Linked DNA regions of Rhinolophus ferrumequinum. The protein of the gene in region 1 interacts with the protein of each later gene in a biochemical or structural test. Links are inferred from orthologs where the notes say so. Each region holds a gene or a part of one and is shown on either strand. Other genes may lie near its edges. The genes, in order: NOXO1, cytochrome b-245 light chain and NOXA1.

Evidence for each region.
Region 2: the proteins of NOXO1 (region 1) and cytochrome b-245 light chain form a complex in vitro, tested with the Homo sapiens proteins (3 studies listed by IntAct). The link is inferred for Rhinolophus ferrumequinum from reciprocal best matches to the Homo sapiens genes NOXO1 and CYBA.
Region 3: the proteins of NOXO1 (region 1) and NOXA1 form a complex in vitro, tested with the Homo sapiens proteins (2 studies listed by IntAct). The link is inferred for Rhinolophus ferrumequinum from reciprocal best matches to the Homo sapiens genes NOXO1 and NOXA1.

Annotation. Positions count from the first base shown.
Region 1 is NW_022680357.1:3,725,800-3,733,043, forward strand, and holds NOXO1 (NADPH oxidase organizer 1), read right to left. Parts: upstream 2,793-7,244; 5' UTR 2,721-2,792; coding exon of another isoform or gene 2,655-2,720; 5' UTR 2,653-2,654; coding exon 2,473-2,652; intron 2,285-2,472; coding exon 1,929-2,284; intron 1,753-1,928; coding exon 1,571-1,752; intron 1,477-1,570; coding exon 1,363-1,476; intron 1,065-1,362; coding exon 947-1,064; intron 857-946; coding exon 589-856; 3' UTR 559-588; downstream 1-558. Other genes in the region: TBL3 (transducin beta-like protein 3), read left to right, coding at 1-44, 129-238; GFER (FAD-linked sulfhydryl oxidase ALR), read left to right, coding at 5,046-5,825, 6,148-6,344, 7,226-7,244. UniProt on the Homo sapiens protein: Constitutively potentiates the superoxide-generating activity of NOX1 and NOX3 and is required for the biogenesis of otoconia/otolith, which are crystalline structures of the inner ear involved in the perception of gravity.
Region 2 is NC_046298.1:33,294,511-33,301,454, forward strand, and holds the start of cytochrome b-245 light chain, read right to left. Parts: upstream 3,072-6,944; 5' UTR 2,990-3,071; coding exon 2,932-2,989; intron 1-2,931. Other genes in the region: MVD (diphosphomevalonate decarboxylase), read right to left, coding at 5,038-5,118, 5,800-5,908, 6,860-6,944. UniProt on the Homo sapiens protein: Subunit of NADPH oxidase complexes that is required for the NADPH oxidase activity that generates, in various cell types, superoxide from molecular oxygen utilizing NADPH as an electron donor.
Region 3 is NC_046295.1:83,440,849-83,448,524, reverse strand, and holds the start of NOXA1 (NADPH oxidase activator 1), read right to left. Parts: upstream 3,053-7,676; 5' UTR 2,759-3,052; coding exon 2,582-2,758; intron 1,353-2,581; coding exon 1,270-1,352; intron 547-1,269; coding exon 438-546; intron 1-437.

The DNA.
Region 1 (7,244 bases):
CGAGGGTGTTCGGGCCTCCCTGGAGGCCCTGCTGCCCTACACTGGTACGTGGGCACAGCCCCAGGTTGGGGGTAGGGAGTAGCTCAGCACACTCTGTGGACCCCATGACAACCTCTGTCATTCCCCAGAGCGCCACTTTCAGCGGCTCAGCCGGACACTGCAGGCAGCCACCTTCCTGGACTTCCTGTGGCACAACATGAAGCTGCCCACTCTCCCTGCGGCCCCCTCAGCCCTCTGAAACACGCAGAAGGTGTACTCTTCTATCCCAGCTCCCTGTGTCTGTCTGGACGTTGTCTCATCAAGATCACAACTCCGGCCAACCCCCCCTCCCTGGGCCCTGGCCTGGCCGTGATCCAGCAGGCCCTGCCCCTGAGCACAGACACTGCGTGTGGGTCAATCAGAAGAGCTTTTTACTCAAAGGAAATGGGAGAGTGTAGCCTCCTGGCCCCCCCCAGCCAGGGAGTCCCACCCTCAAAGGCACCTCCCTCTGCCCTGGGAGTGGTGTGGCTCCCTGGGGTCTGGAGCCTCTGGCCTGCCGCTCCAGCTGTGAGGCAGTCAGTGCAGCCTTCCGTGTGATTCCACACACCCTCAAGGGGGTCCCTGACCCCTTGGGGCCTGCCGCAGTGCTCTGCGGGTGATAGTACAGCAGCGACTCTGAATGACACTCAGTGGGGGGCGGGCAGGCACAGTGGGGGGAATGGTTGTGGCCTGGTTGGGCTCAGGGGAGCTCTGGGCCTTGCCTGGCCTGTTCTCTCCGTCCTCTGCCCCACAGTGGAGCCCTGGTCCACTCAGGAGCATGCCCAGTCCATCGGGCTGCAGCAGCACAGAGGGGAGAAGACCTGTGCGGCCACCGAACCTGAGAAGACAGCAGGGTTTGGTTAGTCGTGGCCCTGCCCCCAACTAGACCCCCACCCCCACTCCCCACAAAGCCCCCACACCTGCATACCTGCACAGCCACCAGCCGCGATCAGACATTTCCAGGACGTGCACATGCGCTCCAGCAGGCACTGACAGCTCGTCAGCCCGGCTGCCCTCATAGGCACGGGATGCACAGAACTGGAACCCTGGAGTGGGGTGCTTGAGGGTCACCAGAGGGCTCCCACTTTTTGGTCCCCTTACCTCCCACTGAATCGCCCCCTCCAGGCTCCCTCTCTGCATCTCTGCTGACCCCAGGACAACTCTAAAACCTCCTGTGGCTCCCTCCTACTATGGGGACCTAGCACGTGCTAAGGGGGCCACTGCCACCACCTAGTCACTCCATGGCGTCCCTCCCCTGGGCCCAGTGTTTGTGGCCCAGCTTTGCTGCACGCTGCCTACAGGTGGTAGGGGTTGTAGGCACGGGAAGGAAGGCTAGTCTCATACCACTACTCCGTAGGGGCCGGCCCCCCTCTTCTCCCTGGCCTGGGGCCACATCCCCTAGGTAGGGAGCAGGAAACCACGCCGTCTGCTGGTCTTCGTTCTGCACCAGCCACCAGCCTGTGGGCAAGAGGTGGCCAGGGGTTCAGATCCCCAGGCCCACTGGGATCCTGGAGGCAGAAGGTTGAGTCCCCAGACTCCTGCCCAGCCCCACCTGAGGGGTGTCGCAGCAGCACATCCAGGACCTCCTGGGCCCGTGTGTGGAAGGGCCGGCCCTGTGTGTCCTGGGTGCTGAAGGGCTGTAGGCATTGCAGGCTCTGAGCCTCCAGGCTGTGGATGGAAGGGCTGCGCGCAGGGCTGGCTACGGGCTCTTCTGGGACAGGCAAGATGACAAGGCTGGGAAGGGGGTGGGTGCAGGGAGGAGACGTGAGCGGGTGGGAAGTGTGGGGATCGGCCAGCCAATCCTTGCAAGTCCACTTAGCCGGCTTGCCTTCACACCTCCAAGGCCCCTTCACCGCGCCACCCCCACCCTCCAAGTGCTTCCTATAGGGAGTTGGGGGCTGGTCAGTTACCTGCCAGGTGGCAGCCTGGGCTCTAGGTCCCGGGTTTGCGGCGCAAAGAAGCTAGTGAGAGCCGGGTCACAGGGCATGCGCTCAATCGCCAGCAGCGCCCGCAAATAGGCTTCCAGCAGCTGCAGGCGCACCAGGCCACGACCCGTGCGCCCCCCGCGCACCAGCAGCGATGCATCTGTGGGCAGAACAGGGACGGACCATGTAACCCCACCCCCAGGGCTTCCCCCACCAGGCCGCCTGCTGCCACCCCAGCCCGTCCGGGGATCTCTGCCAGCCTGACCCTGAAGCTTGGGAAGAACGCGGTCAGATCTCCGCAGTAGGCCCGACTCTACCGGGAAGGTCTCCTTGAGGTTCTTCTAAGGGAGAGAACCAGGGTATTGGTGTCCGAAAGCCCACCAGGTACCCTTGGAAAGGGCAGGGGTCGCTTGCTGGGATTGTAAGGACTGGAAGCCCGTGTGGGGTGGGCGTGAGGGCAGGCACCCCAGCCGGGGTCATTGGTGGGTCATACAGTTGAGGGGAATCAGATCACCCCAGGCTCACTCACATGGAGCCTCCTGAACTCATCCCAGCTCCTGCGCAGGAAGGTGTTGCTGTCGTCCGACCAGCGCACAGAGAAGGCGAATGTCTGTTGGAGAAAATGCTGGGGGCACCTGGGAGGGGCTAGACCATGAACTCCCTCCCTCCCTCCTTCCTCCTTGAGGTTGGCAGGGACCTGTAGGGTCATACCTGGAACTTCTCTGTCTCCACCAGAGCCGCAGCACGTACTGACACTGGGTGCCGAGGGCCTGCCATAGCTGTGGCCTTGGTCTCAGTCCTGGGCTTCTGGAGCTGGCGGGATGTGATGGAGGGTTCTGCTGTCTCCCTGCCCACACTGGGAGGGTTTGCACTCCTGGGAGGGTTTGCACTCCTGGGCACCGGAAGCGTGGTTGGAATTCCCCTATGACTCCTGAGACCTGCCAGGTCCTTGCGGCGCTGCCCCTACACCTGTGTCCCTTCGCAGCTTCCTCACTGCACTGCAAGCTGAAGATCTGGGTGGAGGGGCTGAAGCACAGGGCGTGAGGGTGGGAGGGGGAGCACAGAGGCGGTGGAGATGCTAGGACTGCTGCCTGAGGCCCTCCTGCCCAAGACTGGCCGTGGGAAAAGCCATCAAAGGGCCGCCAGGCCTGGCCCATCTCCCCATCTCCCGGCTCTCCCACACCCTGTTAATGCTGGGAATGGTGAGAGCCTGTTGCCAGGGTGTGGCCCACTGCTTTGTCTTCGAACTCACCTGGAGAGGTCACCCATTTATCAGGAACTGCTTAACCCTCACCTTGAAGGGAAAATCCCTTAATAACACCACAGTCACAGAGAAGGAAATGTGTTAAATGGATCATTTATGTCAGTATTTCTGTGTGTGTTGGGGAGAGGCAGGCCTCACAACTTCACCCCAGAGGTTCCCCTGTGGTGGGTAGACTTGGGGCAGCAGGAAGAAGACGGTCCATCTCTATCGTCACAGACGCTTGGGGTGGGGGAGGTGGTGACTAAGGTGGTTTTGAGAACCGACTCGGAATTCATGATTTATTACAAGTTACTGCAAACACAACTTCTGAGATCAGGAGTGGCTATTCCCCAACTGACGGGAATCCCCAGAAAGCCTGCCCAAGTCCAAGTGCCCCATATTACTGGGCTGCTTCCTCATAGGGGAGATTTCTGGAGCCCCATCTAACCTTGGTGCACAGTGGTTCTTCCTGTTGTTGGGGCCACCAGCTCTGACTTATGCCCCCTAGGGCTGGCTAAACCTTGCCCCCAACCTGAAGCCGTCCAGGAAGACGTCACTTTCCAGGGCATCCTTCCAGGAACCGACCATGGCCTAGACAAAAGGCTTTTGTGTGTCTGACCAGTGGCTCTGTCTGAAGCCCTCAAACCTACCCTGGTCTTGGTCCAGACAATGAACACCTGCTGACATAGGCCTTATCTGCAGCGTGCCTTCAGCCCAGCTGCCACACTCTCCCCAACCTCAGTGGGGGCCTGGCAGGGTCTAGGGTGGGACAGACCTTGCTCCCCTGGAAGACAGAGAAGCTGGGGAAGGGACAATTTACTCACAGCCAGGGACCTAGAAGGATGCTGAGGCCCCCTCCCTGCCCCAACCGACAGCCCCTGCTTCACACCCCCAGTAACCCTGAGTCCTTTCCACTTTTTCCCTCTCCATAGCCCCTCCCCTCCTCTCTCACCCGGGCAAACAGCCCCCCTATCCATCCAATGACCGTGTCCCTCACTTGCTCCCATGAAATGGACTCTCCAGAGAAACCTGCAAAACAGGATCGGGATCAGGCAGAGGTAGCCCTGCTCAAAACTGTCCAGGATCTTCCCACTGTCCGAGTAAATTCCCAATTCCCGCGATAGCCAACCAAGTCCTTGGCGGGCCCCTGCCCCCTTCTGGATATCTCCTCCACAAGTCCTATCCCACTGGCCTTACTGCCCACGCGAGACCAAGACCCTCCCACCTCCAGCCTTGGCCTTCACTGCCCTCCACAGCTGATTCCTCATCCTTGGGCTTCTGCCTAAAGGTCACCTAAAGGAGGCCACCTGGATTTACCACACCCTGTTAGGACCCCCACCACAGTTTGTAAATGAACATTTATTAGTGTGACTTGTTTTTGTTTTTGTTGTTTCCGTCTTGACCATACCGGACTATGAGCTAAGATCAGGGTCAGATCTTGCTCCCCGCCCTGTCCAGCGCCTGGAACAGTGCTCGGAACAGATTAGGCACTACATAAATATTTGCGAAATGAATGAGTGTACGTAAGCAAGCAGAGGTATCCCTGAGGCCACTCCTGACGTGGAGTTAACCCTTTCATGCTGGCTACAGGATCCGGGGCCGTTCGGTGCGCACAGGAGTCCAGAGACATGTGCAGCTTCCTTTGCAGGCACGGCCCCACCCAGCCTTGCCAGGCGCCCGTTGCCGTGGCACCGGCCATGGAGGCTAATCCCGGGACCCGGCCCTAGAGCGCCGGGGCCTTCTGTGCGCTCACGGCCCCGCCCCGCGTTGCCAGGGCGCCGCGCAGCCGGCCCTTGGGCGAGCCGGGGCTGAAGGCACAGATTCTGGCCGCCCGCACGTGGGACAGTCGGAGCGGAGCGATGGGGGCGTCAAGGGCCGCAACACGGACTTCGCCTAAACCACAGCCCGAGTCCACGGCTCGGCCGCGGCGCACCTTCCACAACACGTTCCTCTTCTACTGGAGAAAGCGGGAGCGCCGCCCTGGACAACGCAAGCCTGGCTTGGACCGCGGAACTAGCCCCAGGGGTGCCGCGAGGACGCGGGCCTCCGGCCTCACCCGGGCCTCCGGCGCATTTTTGGACCCGACGCAGTCCTCCCGCTCGGCCTCCTCCCGGGTGCGGGTCGCGCATCCCAGCCCTGCCTCTGTGCTGGACCCCGCCTCCACGGCGGACCCCGCCCCGGCCCCAGGCTCCGCCCCCGAACCCGCCCTCAGCCCCAACTCAGGCCCGGCCTCCACGCCCGAACCCGCGGCGCGCGCGCCCGGCTCCTGTGGCCGCGCCCTGGCGGCGGCGCGCGCGCTGGCCTGGAGGCCGACTTGGAGGCCGAGCTGGAGACCGAGCTGGAGGCCGAGCTGGCCCGGCAGACATTGCGCGGGCAATATGGCGGCGCCCAGCGATCGGGGGCGCTTCGGCGGCGGGAACCTCTTTTCCTTCCTGCCAGGCGGCGCGCGCTCCGAGGCGATGGAGGACCTGGTGACGGACGCGCGCGGCCGGGGGGCAGGGCGGAGAGATGCCGCCGCCTCGGCCCCGACGCTAACCCAGGCACCGACCCCCGATTCTGAGGTCGTCGATGACACCTCCCGAAGGCGGCCCTGCCGGGCTTGCGTGGACTTCAAGACGTGGATGCGGACGCAGCAGAAGGTGCAGATGTCGGGAGGCGCCACTTCCCCACAGAGGCCTGCAAGCCCTGCCTACCCCTAACCCCGGCCCGCATACACCCCACCCCAACCTCGGGCTCCACATCTTGTTCTCAGGCACCCTGGGCAGATCTCCCAATGCGAAGGCCGAGCGGCCACAGGTCCTATGCCTGACAGACTTATGCCCCACAGGGTTGGCCTTTAGACCTTCAGCCACAAGTGGGCCGGATCCGCTGCAGGATCCGGCTGGGGAGGGCAAAGGGGGAGTTTTGTAGGCTTCTGGTCCGGGAAGACCGAACTGACCCTTGATCGGCCTCCTTCTGCAGCGGGACAGCAAGTTTAGGGAAGATTGTCCTCAGGATCGCGAGGAATTGGGCCGCCACAGCTGGTCTGTCCTTCACACCCTGGCCGCCTACTACCCTGACGTGCCCACCGCAGAACAGCAGCAAGACATGGCCCAGTTCATACATTTATTTTCCAAGTTTTACCCCTGTGAGGAGTGTGCAGAAGACATAAGGAAAAGGTAAGTTGTGTCTGCACCATCTGCAGGCAGCAGAGCATCCCACGTGGAGCCTGGGTCTGGGGTCCCTCACTGATGTCATAAAGGGGAGCCTAGAGAAATAGGTGCAGAGGTGGCAGAGGGTTGCCACGAGCAGGGACCACCAACGGAATGGGGATTGGGTCATCTGAGCCATCTTTCTCAAAGGCCAAACACCCTGGGGTTGCTTCTGGACACTGCTGCTTTCTGCAGCCACAGGTCTGCAGGACTTCTCTCACAAGGTCCCTGCTTAGCACTGATGGAAACTTCTGCGAGTTAAGGAGGACTCCACCTTGCCTGACTTCTGGAGCAGCACTGCTAGTTTCAAGACCTTGAGAACCCACTTTTTTTATTGTTTGGCATCCATAGGCATTTCTGGGCTGGATGTGGGGGGGCAGGAAAGCCCTTGCTGTTTGAAGCCTGAGCAGTTAGAACCAGGTCTCTTGCTGAGGTGGGGCACCAGGGCCCCAGTTGCTAGGAAACAGGTTTGGTTTTCAGTTATGCCTTTGTGCCCGCCCCACCCCTTCCACACTGCCGGGGGCCAGGGAAGCTGGGGTGAGGCTTCCTGATTGTTAAGAGGTTGTAAAGTTGCCTGGTCTGTGACTTAATTTCTTGCCCTGGGCTCTTGTCAGTGTTTGCCAAGCTCCCTAAGTGGCATTTTGAGCAGGCTTAGGAGTCCACCCCGTCTGGATGCTGCAGGGTCTGCCCTGTTTTGGGACTTACTGTCTCAGAGCATGAGAGCACTCCTGGGTGTAGCTCACAGCAGGGTCCCATCTCCTCCCTGGATTGAGCCGGCAAGGAGCTGGTGGGGCAGGGGCAATGGAGCCACTGCCTGCCCCCCGTCCTCCATGTGCTCCCCCATGCAGGATATGCAGGAACGAGCCA
Region 2 (6,944 bases), on another chromosome or scaffold:
AGGCCTCAGTTCTCGTGGGGCTTATAGTCTCAGGAGGGGACAGAAATAAACATCAGAGATGGTGAACTAGAACAAGAGACTGTGACAGAGATGTCTAGGTGCTCTGGAAAGACTTTTCTAAGCAGGTGACATTTGAACTGAGAAATGAATGGCGGAGCCAGCCATGGATGCTTCAGACAGAAGAAACCGCTTATGCAAAGGTCCTGGGGTATGCCTAGGAAATCTGGGAACAGAGAGGAGGCCTGTGCAGTTGGAATGACAGAGAAGGCAGGGGGACAGGGACAGAGCAGTAAGAATCTGGCTTTTATTCTTCGCAATTGGACCCACTGGAGGGTTTTCAGCAGGAGGGGACATGATCTGATTAGATGGAATTTTCTACAATAAGAAAGAAGCCTGTTGGGCCGGCCCGGTAGCTCAGGCGGTTGGAGCTCCGTGTTCCTAACTCCGAAGGCTGCCAGTTCGATTCCCACATGGGCCAGTGGGCTCTCAACCACAAGGCTGCCAGTTCAGCTCCTCGAATCCCACAAGGGATGGTGGGCTCCACCCCATGCAGCTGGGATTGAACACAGCACCTTGAGCTGAGCTGCCGCTGAGCTCCCGGATGGCCCAGTTGGTTGGAGCCTGTCCTCTCAACCACAAGGTTGCCGGTTCTACTCCCACAAGGGATGGTGTGCTGCGCCCCCTGCAACTAGCAACGGCAACTGGACCTGGAGCTGAGCTGCGCTCTCCACAACTAAGACTGAAGGGACAACTTGACTTGGGAAAAAAGTCCTGGAAGTACACACTGTTCCCCAATAAAGTCCTGTTAAAAATAAATAAATAAATAAAAAAGAACGGCTCAAAGAACGGCTCAACATATGAAAAAAAAAAGAAGCTCAACATATGAGAAAAAAAAAAAGAAGCCTGTTGGAGGCAGCTGCTAGCAGGGTCCAGCCAGGCCTGAGCAGTCTCAGGTGGCTGCAATTTATACTGAATCAGGAAAAAAAGTCAGCAAGAGGAGGAACTCAGAGCAGGAATGGCCCTAGAAGACCTTCCAATAAACTGCCTCATTTGGTGATGGAGGAAACTGAGCTGCAGCTTGTACGTTCTCTAGGTTTGATTTCACTGTCTGTAAAGTAGATGCAGGAACAGCTCCAGCCTCAGACCCTAAGGACATTAGCTAAGGCAAGGAAGGTTCAGCCAGCACACAGTGGGCATGCCATGAACGGGGGTGCTGGGGGTGCTGCACCCAAGGGGACTCAAACCCATGCATCTCAGAGAGCTCCCAGTTTGGTGCCCTCTGTCGCCTTTTACTTCCTGGGGGTTGAGGAGCTGTAAGAGGAAGGGAGGCTGGTCTGCAGCTGTTTAAGGTCTCATGACCTGTGGCAGACAGGGGAACAGCTTGGGGACAACTCTGGGGAGAAGTGAGGAGAACTGGGGCGGACGGGTGGCTCAGTTGGTTAGAGTGCCAGCTCTGGGCAATGGGGCTGCCAGTTCAATTCCCACATGGGCCAGCGAGCTGTACCCTCCACAACTAGAATGAAGTCAATGAGCTGCCGCTCAGCTCCCGGGTGGCCAGAGGGCTCAATTGGTTGGAGCGCGTCCTCTCAACCACAAAGTTGCCAGTTCGACTCCTCAACTCCCACAAGGGATGGTGGGCTGAGCCCCCTGCAACTAACAACGGCAACTGGACCTGGAGCTGAGCTGCGCCCTCCATAACTAAGAAAGGACAACAACCTGACTTGGAAAAGTCCTGGAAGTACACACTGTTCCCCTTCCCCAATAAAATCTTTAAAAAAAAAAAAAAAGTGACAACTATCTAACTCACTGACTTCTCACTCGTTGACTTCTCACCCTAGACGCCAAACTCAAGGGGGTGACCTGCCTGAACAGACCATTGGGCTTCATGACCCAAAACTGCTCACCCCAAAACGTGATCTTACAAAAACGTGATCTTACAGTTCAGCGGCGAGAGAGACTTCATTTACATCTGCTCCCTTCCCTCCCAGAGCTTCACCAGACTCCTGTCCCCCTGGCAGAGGGGCCTCAGGGTGGGTCCCAGGGGAATGCTGGTGGGCTAGGACCCTCCTCATCACTACATTCCCTACTGTCTTTCCACCCACTCATTCCCACTGGGTGCAGGTCCTTCCTGGAAGTGGCAGGTCCCCAGAGGCGGGCAGAACCTCTGGGCAGCTTCCTCTTGCCTCAGACTCTGCCTGGGCCCAGTCTCACCATCCCTGAGAGGTTCCACTTCCAAGTACAGCACAGGGGTGCAGACCCCACTGTGTTTTCACCAGAGCTCCTGAACACAGGCTCAGCGTGACTGAGGAGGCCTGCCATCCTTCCCCAGAAGCAGTCTCTGATAGTTGGGCTGGGAGAGGTCCCTCTGGGCTGTTTTAGATGTCCTGTGAAGGCTCAGGGCGGGGGAGGGAGCCCGTCGCGACCCCTGGGGTGAAGCCCCACTCCAGGGCAGGAGGAACAGCAGGAGCGGGTGGTCCTGCCAGGTTTCCCCAATCCTGGAGGGTGGTAACTCCCCGGAAAGCACCCGGGGTGAAGGCCTCTTCCCCTAGGGCTGCAACTTCCTCTATCGGTGGTGTGAGGTCCTGGTGGGGTGGAGGGGGTGAAAAGGGGACAGTGGAAAGGGGGAGGGGACGGGGGCGCGGGTATCTGCGGGGACAGGAGGGTCTCCAGACCGCCTCCCTAGCCCGAGGTCTCCCACTGCCGGGCAGCCCCAGGCCCACTTCCCCGCCACGCAGCTGCAGGTTTCCGCATAAGTCTTGGGGACCCTCACCCCCAGGCTTCAGCTCCCGCCTCGCGGCCCGCAGCCGAGTCTCTGACTCGTCAGGACCCTGGCTCCCCGGCCCCGTGGCCGGCCCACCCGGTCCCTCGGCCTGCAGCCCGGGGTCTCGGCGTTGCCGGCCCGCCCCGCGGGCCAAGCCCGGGCTCACTCACTCAGGCCCGACGCCAGCGCCTGCTCGTTAGCCCACATGGCCCACTCGATCTGCCCCATGGCGACCCGCAGCGCGGTTCGGCTTGGCTCCGCTGGGACACTGAGCCCCGCGCGCCAGCCACCTCCCAGCCCGAAGTTCCGGCTCCACCCCCACCCTGTCCCCTAGTTCCTCGGGTGCAGCCCCGCCCCGCCCCGAGTTCCGGTCCCGCTCCCAAGTGACGGGCCTGGACAGCAGGGGCCCGAGGCTATGGCGGTGCTCCGGAGGTCTGCCCCGCACAACAGAATTTTTGCTTGAGGGTCGGAGGGGCCCCCTGCCTCACTTCCCCGGGGCAAACAGCGGCCCCCACCCACTTGGTGCCAGGCACCTCTCCTGTCAGCTCCCAGCCTGGTCAACCTGGGACATCCTGAGCATCGCTTGGGGGTCTTGGACATAGGCAGAGAGGGGACCAATGAGATGGACACCTGCCTCAGAAGGCAAAGTGCCCTCATAATGCTGGGCTCTCTTAGGTGCTTACAGAGGACAGTGAGCAGGCCAGGTTCCCAGAAGGGTTTAAAGGTCCAGCGATTTCACCATGCCCACTGCGGGGTCGGGGGAACTCCCCTCAAGGGAGAAGGACCTCAGACCAGGAGTCAGAGCCTGGGGAACCCCTCCCTGGAAGTCAGTGCCCAATAGGAAGGTCAGTGGCAGGCCCAGCGCCTACTTCCTCATCTGGCCCTGGGCTAGTGCAAGTATGGTGAGCAGCCCTGTCCACAGGACTAACTTAGGGGAAGGAAACAGGGTGTACAAAGCTCCTGGGAAAACCCAGAATGTCAGAGTGCTGGCCCTGTCCCTTTGTCATCTCCCTCCTCTGCCCACCCAGCAGCGGTAGCAGCTGACTCTCCGGGGGAGAGGCAGGAAACCAGGAGGTAGGTCAATAGGTGTACATGTCCACTCTCCTCTTCCTCTAAGCCAACTGTGCTGAAGCTGGGAAAGTGGAGAGGAGGTCGATGACCTGCACACAATGGAAAAACCCATTTAGAAGTGCAAGCAATTCCTGGGCTCCAGAACCCATAAGCTTCTGGGCTGAGGGGAACCCTCCTGAATCAGTGCTCCTCCCTGCAAAGCTGCTTCCCACTTTCTTTCATGGACTGGGAGCTTAAAGCCGGCCCAAACCATGTCCCCAGGCCTGTCAGAGCCATAGCCACTGAGTGTGGCTTGTGGCCCTGGGGGGTGGCTGTGTGCTGAACACCCACCACAGGGCTGGGCAATGAGGGGACCTTGGGAGAAGGCAGCTTCTTCAGGAGCAAGTTAGCAAATGCGCGAGTTCTAAGTTCTCTGCTCCTGCAGGAGGCTCGCAGCCCGCACCCTCCCCACCCCTCCCGCTGAGCGCTGCCCACGGCCTACACAGCAACACTGCTTAGACAGAAGCACGCCAGGCCCAATCAGCAACGCTGGCTTTATTCTCCGTGGTCTGTTGACAGGGCTCCCTGTGACAACGCACCATGGTGCTGCTCTCCCACCTCCCATTGGAGACAACTCCTGGTCTTTTTATGAAGAAACGTTACGTCCACACCCAGTGGCCTGAGCTCTGGCAGAGGAGCTGGGACAACTGTCATGTTCAAAGCACTTTATGGAGGGCTCTGGAGCCTGCAGAGGCAGCTCCCTGCAGTGACTGGTCCTCCAGCTCCACAGAGGGATGCCAACTCCCCATCATCTCCGGTGGCCCAGCTCCTGTTTCAGTCAGTGCGAGTGGCTCCAGGGCTCAGGGCCAGAGATCCTTCAGGGAGACACACCAGCAGCTCACCACCATCAGCTCGGTCCCCCAGGTCCCACATCTGACCCCAGCCCTCATCTCAGCACAGTATTGGTGCAGGTGGGGAAGGTGAGGCACTTGGTGGGGGGCCCGTTCCTGACCACCTGGCGCCTGCAAGTGGTCACTCCACTGCCCCTATTCAGCCCCGGCATACTGCCTGGCCTGGGGCGAGGTGGCCACCCACCAGCCCCAAAAAGCATAGTACAGGCACCGCCACAAGCAGCTCCCCAGTCCCAGCAAAGTGGAAAGTGGCCCCTTCTCCCAGCAAAGCGGCCCTTCTCCAAGCAGCGGCCAAGGCTCCTGTCGAGAAACTGGTCAAGCAGCTGGCTTTGGCAGGCCATCGGGGCCCAGGAGGTGAGCGAGAGGATCATCCAGGATTTGAGGCCCGGGCCCCACCTGGCAGGTAGAGAAATCAGTGTCAGGTTGGGATGACAGGGAGGGACAGGTATACCCCCCAACTCCCAGGTAAGGGCAGGTCAGAAGCTGACCACCCGTGTGGTGACACCCTGGCCCTGTGCCCAACTTCCTCAGACAGAGCTACATGGTCTCTCGGCCTCTATCACCCAGACTCAATGAAAGGTAGAGACCGGGGCCTGGGCACCTGAGGGCATGGGGACTTGGAATCGACGATCTGAGTGAAATCCCGGCTCGGCCACTCTGAGCAGGGACCCAGATCTGGTTCCAGTGGGCGAGCCCTGAGGGTCCTTGGACCCGTCGCACCTGTCTCCTGGAGTCTTACATTCCCAGCCTCACCTGCCCCCCTCAGCACTGGGAATGCTGCCCCAAACCTCACAGCATGTCTTAAAATGTTCCTGCTGAGAGCGAGTGAGTGAAACAAACCATAGTGGACCAGATGCCTTGAAAACAGAAGTGTGGTACTCCTCCTCCTTTTGCTGTTATTCTTAGCAACCTGGCTACCCAGCCCAGATGAAGTGGGGCTGAAGGGGAGTCCCTTCACCGGGTAGACGTGCCAGGTCTGAGTCCTCAAGGCCTGTGTGCCGGATGGGGCCCTCCCCAGGTGTGCTGGGCCGCAGGGACCCCTGGGCCCTGGGGCTGAGGGCTGGTGCCAGGCCTCACCTGAGTAGCAATGATGTATCTGATGCCGCCAGGGGTGGGTTCCATGTCCAGCGCAGCTTTAAGCTCGTCTGAGAGCAGGGCAGGCCTCACGGGCAGCCCTTTCAGAAACCTGGGGAAAGGAAGGCATGAGTGTGCTGTGAGTCCACTGATGGGAAGAACGTAGGACACGCAGACCCAAGAGACAGGAAGGGGTGTGACTGCCGTGGAGTCACAAAATTCTGGAGCCAGATAGAAATGCTAGTTGCAAAACACTGAATGTACTTAATCCTGCTGAAGTGTACACTTTAAAGTGGTTAAAATCATCAACTTTATGTGTATGTGTGCTTTACCGCACACACAAAAAAACTAAGCAGGAATAACCAAGGACCTGGCTGGGGTCACTGTGAAGAGGAGGGTTTCCAGAAACCTCCCGGAGGTTTTAAGTTCATCCCTGGCCTGGGGTTACTGCTCCACCCAGTAGGGTAACACAACTTAAGAAGAAAATGCCTCAGGTCAAGCAAGAGTCCATTACCATGTTCCTCAGAACAGGAAAAGCTGCACACTACTCACTGCGGTGACAAGGCCAATGAGAGCAGAGCTTCCAACGAGGGCACCAGCGGCCTCGGGGGCCATCATGGTAGTGTGGTCTGTTCTACTTGGTAAGGAAGTTAGTATTCCGGCCTCCCACTCACTAGACGTCAGTACTACCCCAATTACGGAGACAGAGAAAATGACCCCGCACGCTTCCAACACCCCTACAGGAAGGTGTCCCCACACTGAGAAAGGACCATTAAAACAACGGGTAGGAAGAAATCCAAATGCTCCGTCCCCATAGTGGGGCCCTGAGTACTGTCCACATAGGAGCCATGACGCTGCATGTGCCCGTCTCTGTGACCACGGGGCTGGGGTGTATGAGGAAGACGAGTCCATGGTCACAGCAAGGCATACTAGTGACACACAGCCTGTGGTCCCCTGCGGGACTCCCCATTCAGCAGCAGCCTTAGGTGCAGCTGTCCCGAGCTCAGCAGGAGACCCTGCTCCTCCCTCCAAGGCCTCCCAAATGGGGGGACCCACAACTCACTTGTCTCCATTTGACTCAGGGGGGAAGCTGTGCCTCACAGCGGCCACAAACTCGGCCACAGTGTCGTCCAGGGTAAAGATCACGG
Region 3 (7,676 bases), on another chromosome or scaffold:
CTCCGGACATGCTGGGAGCACTCTGGGCCTCTACCAACAACCCTCCTTCAGTGCCAGCACTGTCCCCAGAGGCCGGGAACAGGCCCAAGTGCAGAGCCGAGGGTGGGGATACCCCCTGCCTGCCCCTGCCAGGGGCCCACAACTAAGCTTTTCCCCCTCCCACCACCCGCCTTTCCTCCATCCCTACCCCTATCCTGGGTGAATGTATTCCTGGTGGCCCCACCCTCGCTGACACCCTGAGCCTCCTGGGGGAAGTGACTGGCAGGGACCATGGGGACAGCTGTGACAGTAACAACAGGACCCAGAGAACGGGGCGTGCAGGAACCCAGGGGCCGGGCAGGACCACTTGGGCCGCCCAGCCATGGGCAGCACCTGGGAACCCCAAGCCAGCTCCGCCAATGGAGGCCAGCTCTCTGCACCAGCCAAGACATGCTCACCTCCCAGGCCTGCAGCCTGAACCGCAGGCCCAGCTGTGTGTAGTCAATGGCGGCATTGCCCCTCAGCTGCTCCAGGGCCAGTCGGAAGTCGAACAGGGCCTCCTGGAATCTGTGGCAGCAGGGGAGCCGAGGGCCTCAGCAGCCGCAGAAAAAGGGGCCCAGCCCTGCCACAGCCTTCCTCCTGCCCCTACCCCCAGCTCCAGGGACACCTGCTGGGGGCAGGGCTGGTCGCCCAGATCTCAGCCCACAGTGGGCACTCAAGTCCCCACAACGGGTCAAGGGTTCAGTACGCAGCTGTGCTCTGACCCAGCTCTGAATCCTGGACATTTGCTCCCCTGCCTGGGGCCCCTGTCTGCACCCCAGACCCAGCTGGGCGGTGCCTCCCGGGACCCCCACCCCCAGGGAGGCTTCTGCAGATGAGAGGGGAGGCTGCCCCAGAGCTTGCCTGCCCGCCCAGCACGGGCCCTGTCCTACAGCCCTGCCTGCTGCTCTGGGAAGGGCCTCAGGGCGGACAGCCCAGCGAGCAGGGAGGCCCCAAGCTCCTCCGTCCTGGGACACACCGCCACAGCCCTCCCTCGGTCCCCATGCCTGCACTGGGTGTAAACACACCAGTCCCACACAGCAGACGTGGGAGGCGCACAAGGGTGCCCAGGAAAGCGCTGTGTGAACACCGGCATGGAGACAGCTCTGCCCTGCGTGCGGCTCAGTGTGATCACAGCACCTGCTCCCAGGTTCCCGTCCAGGAGGGGTCAGTGAGAGGTGATCGTGGGGGAGAGGCGGAGGCAGGAGTACAAAGGGCCATCAGAGAAGGAACAGGCGCCCCCGGGCTCACCTCTCCAGCTGGAAGTTGGCCACTCCTCGCTGGAAGAAGCCGACAGCCATGCAGGCGTCCTTGGTCACCGCTTTGTCAAATGCCTGGGAACAGAGATGCCCATGCAATGCCAAGGTCTATAACCCCATCAGCCCACGTCACAGCTGCTGTCCAGGGCTCTGTTTGCTCTCCCGCCACACAGAGCAGCCAAATCAAGTTTCATGTAGTGTTCAAACGACAGACTGCAGTCCCAGCTTTGCCCTTCCTCGTGTCCTGCTTCTCAGAGACAGTCGGTTTTAGTAATGGTAGCCGTTCCGTCTACTTTTTACAATCTTTGCCTCCCAACTAGAATGCCTATGCTACTACCCTCACCTTGACTGCCTTTAGTAACAGTCCCTCTCCTCCTGTTAGGTAGGGGAGAAACGAGCCCTCAGACCCTCTGCCCACAACCCCGGGCCCCTCCCCCCACTTAAATCACAGAAGTTAAAGTATGCAGAAGTGACGACTGGACCCCTCACGCCTACAGTCACCTGCTGTCCAGAGATCAGATTTCTTTTCCTGGACATTTTCAACTGGAAAGGCTACTGAGAACTGTAGGTTCGTATGCAGAGGTAAGAAATGATAGGTGTGGTCCCATCTCCTCCAATGGCACTGACATCGGGACTCTTACATCCTCTTTGCATCTGTGACTTTTCACTGACCATCTGCACAACTGTAGGAACTGGTGCTTTCTGCCCCGGGGCTGCATTTCCTGATTACAAAGCGTTCACAGGGCAGAGAGTGGCCCTGCGCCCCCCTCAGCTCTGGTTCTGCTTCCAGGAGCAGGTTGGGAGACAGGTGAGCACTGAGATCTGGGATTGGGCACAGACCTTGTCTCCTCACCATCACGATAGGCATCGGCTGAAGCCCCTGGCCCAAACCCTACACCTTGGGGGACAGGTAACCCCTACCCAGGGAATCCGGCCTCAAGCGTTTCCAGGTATGTTAGCACCTGGGCGTTGAGCACCCGAACCAGTGCCCCGCCCCACGACTGTGGAGTCTGGCACATGGTCACCACATAGTGGAGGCACTGAGGGAGCCCTGCACCCCCATCCTGGCCCTGACTCAGCTCAGGGTGGGGTCCTGGGACCACACTGCTCCCATCTGCGGTAGGTGTTCATTGAGGCACAACACCGGAGCGATTTTTCCAGGTGACCGTCGGGAGGAATGGCGTGGGCCCTGGGCTTTATCACAGCGCTCACTGACCCAGCGCACAGTAAGGCACCCCAGGGTCAGAGGACAGCTTCCCCGGGGGTAGGGTCCCTGAGGCCAACCCCGGGGCTACCTGGCTCACCTGCAGCGCGGCCTCCGGGTCCCCCGCCAGGAGGTGCACACATCCCACGTTGAAGCATATCCTGGCGGGCGGGTCCGGGACGCTCGAGAAGAGCTGCAGGGCGCAGCCCCAATCCCCGCGCGCCACGGCCTGCGCGCCCCGCTGCCAGTCGCGCACCAGGTCACCGAACGAGGGCATGGCGACGTCGGCCCCTGTCCCGGCCCGGCCGCGGCGTAAGTCGTTGCTTCCGGGCGGGCGTGCGGCCGGCGGCGTTGGGGGTCCCGTGGGATAACTGGGGGACTGAGGACCGCGGAGTAGGGACGCCTGGGTCCGGAAGCTGGCAGGGGTTGCGGGGAACCCTCCGAAGCCCGCGGGGGGTCAGGGGCGGAGGGCCGCTGGGCCGTGGTGCTGGGGGCGGGACGTCGGTGAGCGCCAGGTGCGCTCTCTTCCTGCGGTCCTCCGCGCCCCTCGACAGGAGAGCGGCCCCGCCCCTTCCCCGAGTCAGCCCCGCCCCGGCATGGCCCCACCCTGGCCACGCCCACACGCACTAGCCCGCCCCTCCCGGATCTGGACCCGCCCCCTCCCAGTCAGCCCCGCTCTGGGCCGCCCATTTCAGTTTCTGCCCCGCCCTCCGACTTCCGCCGAGAGCTCGGAGCTCGGGTTTGCCTGGCCGCCCCCAAGATCCCCTTTCCCACCCACCCACGGCTGCGTTGGCTTCGGGGCTCCGGGGAAACCCTCCCGCCTGCTGCTGACGTCGCTGCCGGGGCCGGGCCAAGGTTCCGGGCGGACCTCGCAGGCACAGGTGAGCAACCTCTAGGGCGCGGGCCAGGTGGGGCGGGCTCGGGATCGCCTGGGGCGCCAGGAAGCAGGGCTGGGCCGAGGGCTGCGGGTCGGCTGGGGCTCAGCCCAGCGCCCCTTCGTGGCCGAGCTGGCGGCCTGGCTGGCCTCGAGGGTCCCCGCTGTCACCCCCTCCCCACCAGGCCGCGGGCCCCGTCTGACAGGCGCGAAGCCCTTGTCCTCGGGGCTCCGCGGGGAGGGCTGGGCCGTGAGAGCAGGTCCTGGGGCACAGGGCACAGTCCACAAGTGGCCTGGAGTCTCCCATGCCAGCGCCCAGCGCTGAAGAGGGACCCAGCTGTGAGGGACTGGAGGGGCAGGTCTGGCGCTCACCCCCAGGTAGGGAAACGAAGGCCCAGGTTTCTGGAAGCCTGGTGTGCAGCCCGACCCCAACTCGGGGCCAGAGGGGCATCCCCAGGTCCCCCCGTGGAAAAGCAGGTCACGACAACGCCCCAGCTACACTTGAGGACCGTCTCATGTGCTGCATGTCACCTGTCCCCATCTTTCCTCCAGAGAGATGGAGGGTGTAGACTGAGCAGTAATATCGACTAGGTATTCCATCACCAAAAAGGATTTATTCAGGAAAAGAAAAAAGGGCTGCAACCCAGCACCAGCCCGAGCAGACCCGCTGGCCATGTGCATATCCTGCCTTGTGTGTAAAGATGGAGGCTATTGGACCCACCTGGTGGCTCAGGTGGTTGGAGCACCGGGTGCTCCTAAAGTGGGGGTCACCGGTTCTATTCCCACATGGGCCAGTGAGCTGCGCCCTCTACAGCTAAGATTGTGAACAACAGCTCTGCCTGGAGCTGGGCTGCCCTGAGCAGCTGTGTGCTGCCGTGGGCTACCATGTGCCACCATGGGTGGCCAATGGCCATCGTGAGTGGCCGGCAGCCAGCGAGAGCTGCCATGAGCTGCTGTGAGTGGCCGACCAACAACCAGCGACCGACTGCCTCAGCCGGGGGGAGCGCAAGGTTCATACCAGCAGGGGCCGGGGAGCTGTGTCCTACACGACTAGACTGAGAAACAAGGGCTGGAACTGAAGGAGGGGGAAGAGGAGGGGAAACAAACGAAGAAAACAACGAAAAAAGATGGCGGGGAGACAGGAAGTTAGAGCCAGAGGGTTTTATGAAAAGGAAGTTAGGACGATAGTGTTGGACTAGGGGGGCTCATGAACGCCCAGGAGACCAGCTCCCCCCTGACACCTCGGACCTGATGGGTGTCCTTAAAGGCCCAGCTCGTCTTTATCAAGTCTCAACGAGCAGCACTAACCCAGCTTCAGTCAATCCCCGTGGCTCGGTTGTTCCCTGCGGTGACGGGCAGATGGGCTCTGTTGACCTCAAAAGTTGTTTTACCGTCAAAAATGGGTTTATCAATAACAACAAAGAATTGCTATTCAGGGCGTGCAAGCTATAGCAAAGCCATAGGCGAGTCCAGCAAACAACGGAGAGGAACTTTTTTTATGGAAAAAAACGAGGAAGTTGGGAGGCTTGTTTTGGATGCTAGCCCATTGGAGTAGAGCGAGACTCCAGGCAGATGATGGTGTCTTGCCACTGAGTTGCTGGCTGGCTGGTTCCTTGTACGTCTTTCCTGTTGGTGATTTCCGGCCTGTGGAGGGTTCTGTTGGGGTCGGTAATGGACTCGGAGAGGTCCTGCGTGAGTGCGCCCCCTTCTGGCCTCCCGATTCCATTGGAAATAAGGTTTCCTTTGTTCAGTTTCCACAGAGAGCAACGTCAACACAGGTACGGAGACTGACGGACCAGAGGGAGTTAGCTCCAGCAGTTGTGGGCGCTGGCAAGTCCAAAATCTGCAGGGCAGGCTGGCAGGCAGGAGACCCAGGGGAGAGCAAGTGTTGCAGCTCAAGGTAAGGCCGCTGGAGGCAGAATTCTCTCTTCCCAGGAAACCTCAGTCTTCTCCTCTTAAGGCCTTCAAGTCATTGGATGAGGCCCGTGCACATTACAGAGGGCGATCCATCTGCTTTGCTACAGGTCCACTGTGTCAAATGCTACTCTCATCTTAAAAAGACTTTCACGGCAACAGTGACTGCGTGACCGAATATCTGGGCCTCATGGCCTCGCCAGTTGACACAAAATTATCCACCACAGCAGCCAACCCCAGGAATGCTCCTGTAGACGGGCTGTCCTGTTACCTGCACAGAGCCTCGTGGCCTCCAGGGTCCTGGGGAGGCTTGTGTTGACAGCTGTCAGAGCCCAGAGTGCAGCTGGGACTCAGAGACCCCCCTTACCTTCCGTGCTGGCCGCCTTCCTTCCCTGGTTGGGCCTTTGGGGCTGGTGGGCTGTGACTCACTGTGGCTGTGTGTCCTCCCTGTGTGACCCTGGGCCAGCTCTCAGAGCCTGCCACTTCCTTACCTGTGGGATGGGGACAATGAGTGCCTACCTCGGAGGGCACCTGTGAGACGTGGCTGGGGTGATGGCCTGTGAAGTGCTTAGGAAGGCCTCTGGCAGCTGTGCTGCTCAGACATGTTTACAACCCTGTGCCCCTGAGGACCCGCTTCCTCGGGAACTCTGAGTCTCCCAGACCGCTGGCCTGGGCATAGCCTAGAAGCTCTTCAGTGGGGAAGTGGTGACCAGGCATGCACCACACCGTGGGGGCCACTCGGCCACAAGGGCAAAGGGTGGCAGCGACTCGGGCAGTCCCAGGAATAAGTGGAGTGAAAAAAGGTTACACACTTTATCCATTTACATAACATCCTTGAAATGACAAATTATATAAATGGAGGTCAGATTAGTGGCTGTCTGGGGTCACTAACAGATGAACGGCTTGGGGGGGGCGCTATAAGAGGGCAGAGGGGAGCCTGGGGGGGGAATGGAGTCTCCATGTCTTGACTGAATCAGTGCCAATATCCTGGTTGCGATTTTGACTGTAGTTTTTAAGATGTTACCACCTTGAAAACTGGGGAAAGGGTATATGGTATCCCTTTATTATTTCCTACACGTGCATGTGTGTCTACAATTATCTCTAAATAAAACGTTTACTTTTTAAAAATAATTTTAAGAAGACTTTTCTATTTTACAGATATCCTGAAAGTTGGAATGATCAAATGACCTCTAAGAGTCTCCCAGCTCTAAAATTCAATGGTTTAAGTGTTGTTTAAAAGCTTCCTTCTATTTAGCTAAAATGTCCTCCCCAGTGGACACCGCAGTGTTGGGACCAGCTGTGACCTGCTGGGACTGTCTAGTTCACACGATTCCTACAGTAGAAGAGTCCAGAAAAGGGAGATGTTACCCAAGGTAAGGCTCAGACTCAGCGAGAGGCCAGCCTGACGCTGGAACTTCCCTTTGAAGGAGGTTAGTCACTCAGGGCTTCATTCTGGAGCACAGATGCCAATCAAATGACAGGACCGGATATTTGGGAATTGACTATAGCCCAGTACAAGGAAGGCTTTTCCTTTAAACAATGGCATTTGCCAAGAAAAAATAAAATGCCACATAAGACTTTTCTCTCGGGAAATAAAAATAGCCTTGGGCATGACTGAGACACTGGTCACCCTGAGCCACGTCTGTAACAGGTTCAGAGAGTGTCTCCCAAGTTAGAGCTCTGGGTGTTGGCTGCCTTTTCCTGGAGGGCTCATCCAGGCACCACCGTAAGGCTGGTCTCCAGAACCTACCACTTCAGCCTGCTGCTGGCCGTTTAGTAACACATACGTGTTAACCGAGGACCCCCTCCCCGGAAATTGTCTTAAAGAAGAAACCCAGGAAGAACAGCATTCCAACAGGTGTGCTCTCCTCTAGCCGCTGAGCCCACCTGCAGGCAAACAGGAAGGGCCTCAGGATTAGTCTCCTTTGAAGGGCGGAGCTGAAAGGAGAGTATAAAATCGGGAAAGTTTTAATACTCTCCTGCAGGATCGGAGGCCCAGGTCTCCATGCTCCAGGCAGACAGTGTCCTGGTGTCCTTGCAGCCTTGAACTGGAGAACGTGCTGTGTGGTGTTGGGCCTTACAGTGGGCATCTGCCAGGACTGGTGCCCTACACGCATCCCCAGGCTGAGTGCTGCTCCTTCTGTGGGGAGAAGTAAGAGTGTGAGGGCTTTACAGCAGACTGACAGCAAACCGGCCCGATGAGCCGAGTGAAATGAAGACGGAGCCTGTGAAAAGGACAAGGGCCCCAAAGATGGAGCATGAGCGAGGGAGTTGCGTACAAGCCTCCAGGGCAGAGGGCCTGTCTGAGGCGCTTCAGGCCACATAAGAAGAAGGAGGAGCAGGCCGGCCCAGGCAGCGGGGATTGTGGAGGGGACAGGGACACCTAGGAATGAGTGTGGAAAGAGCA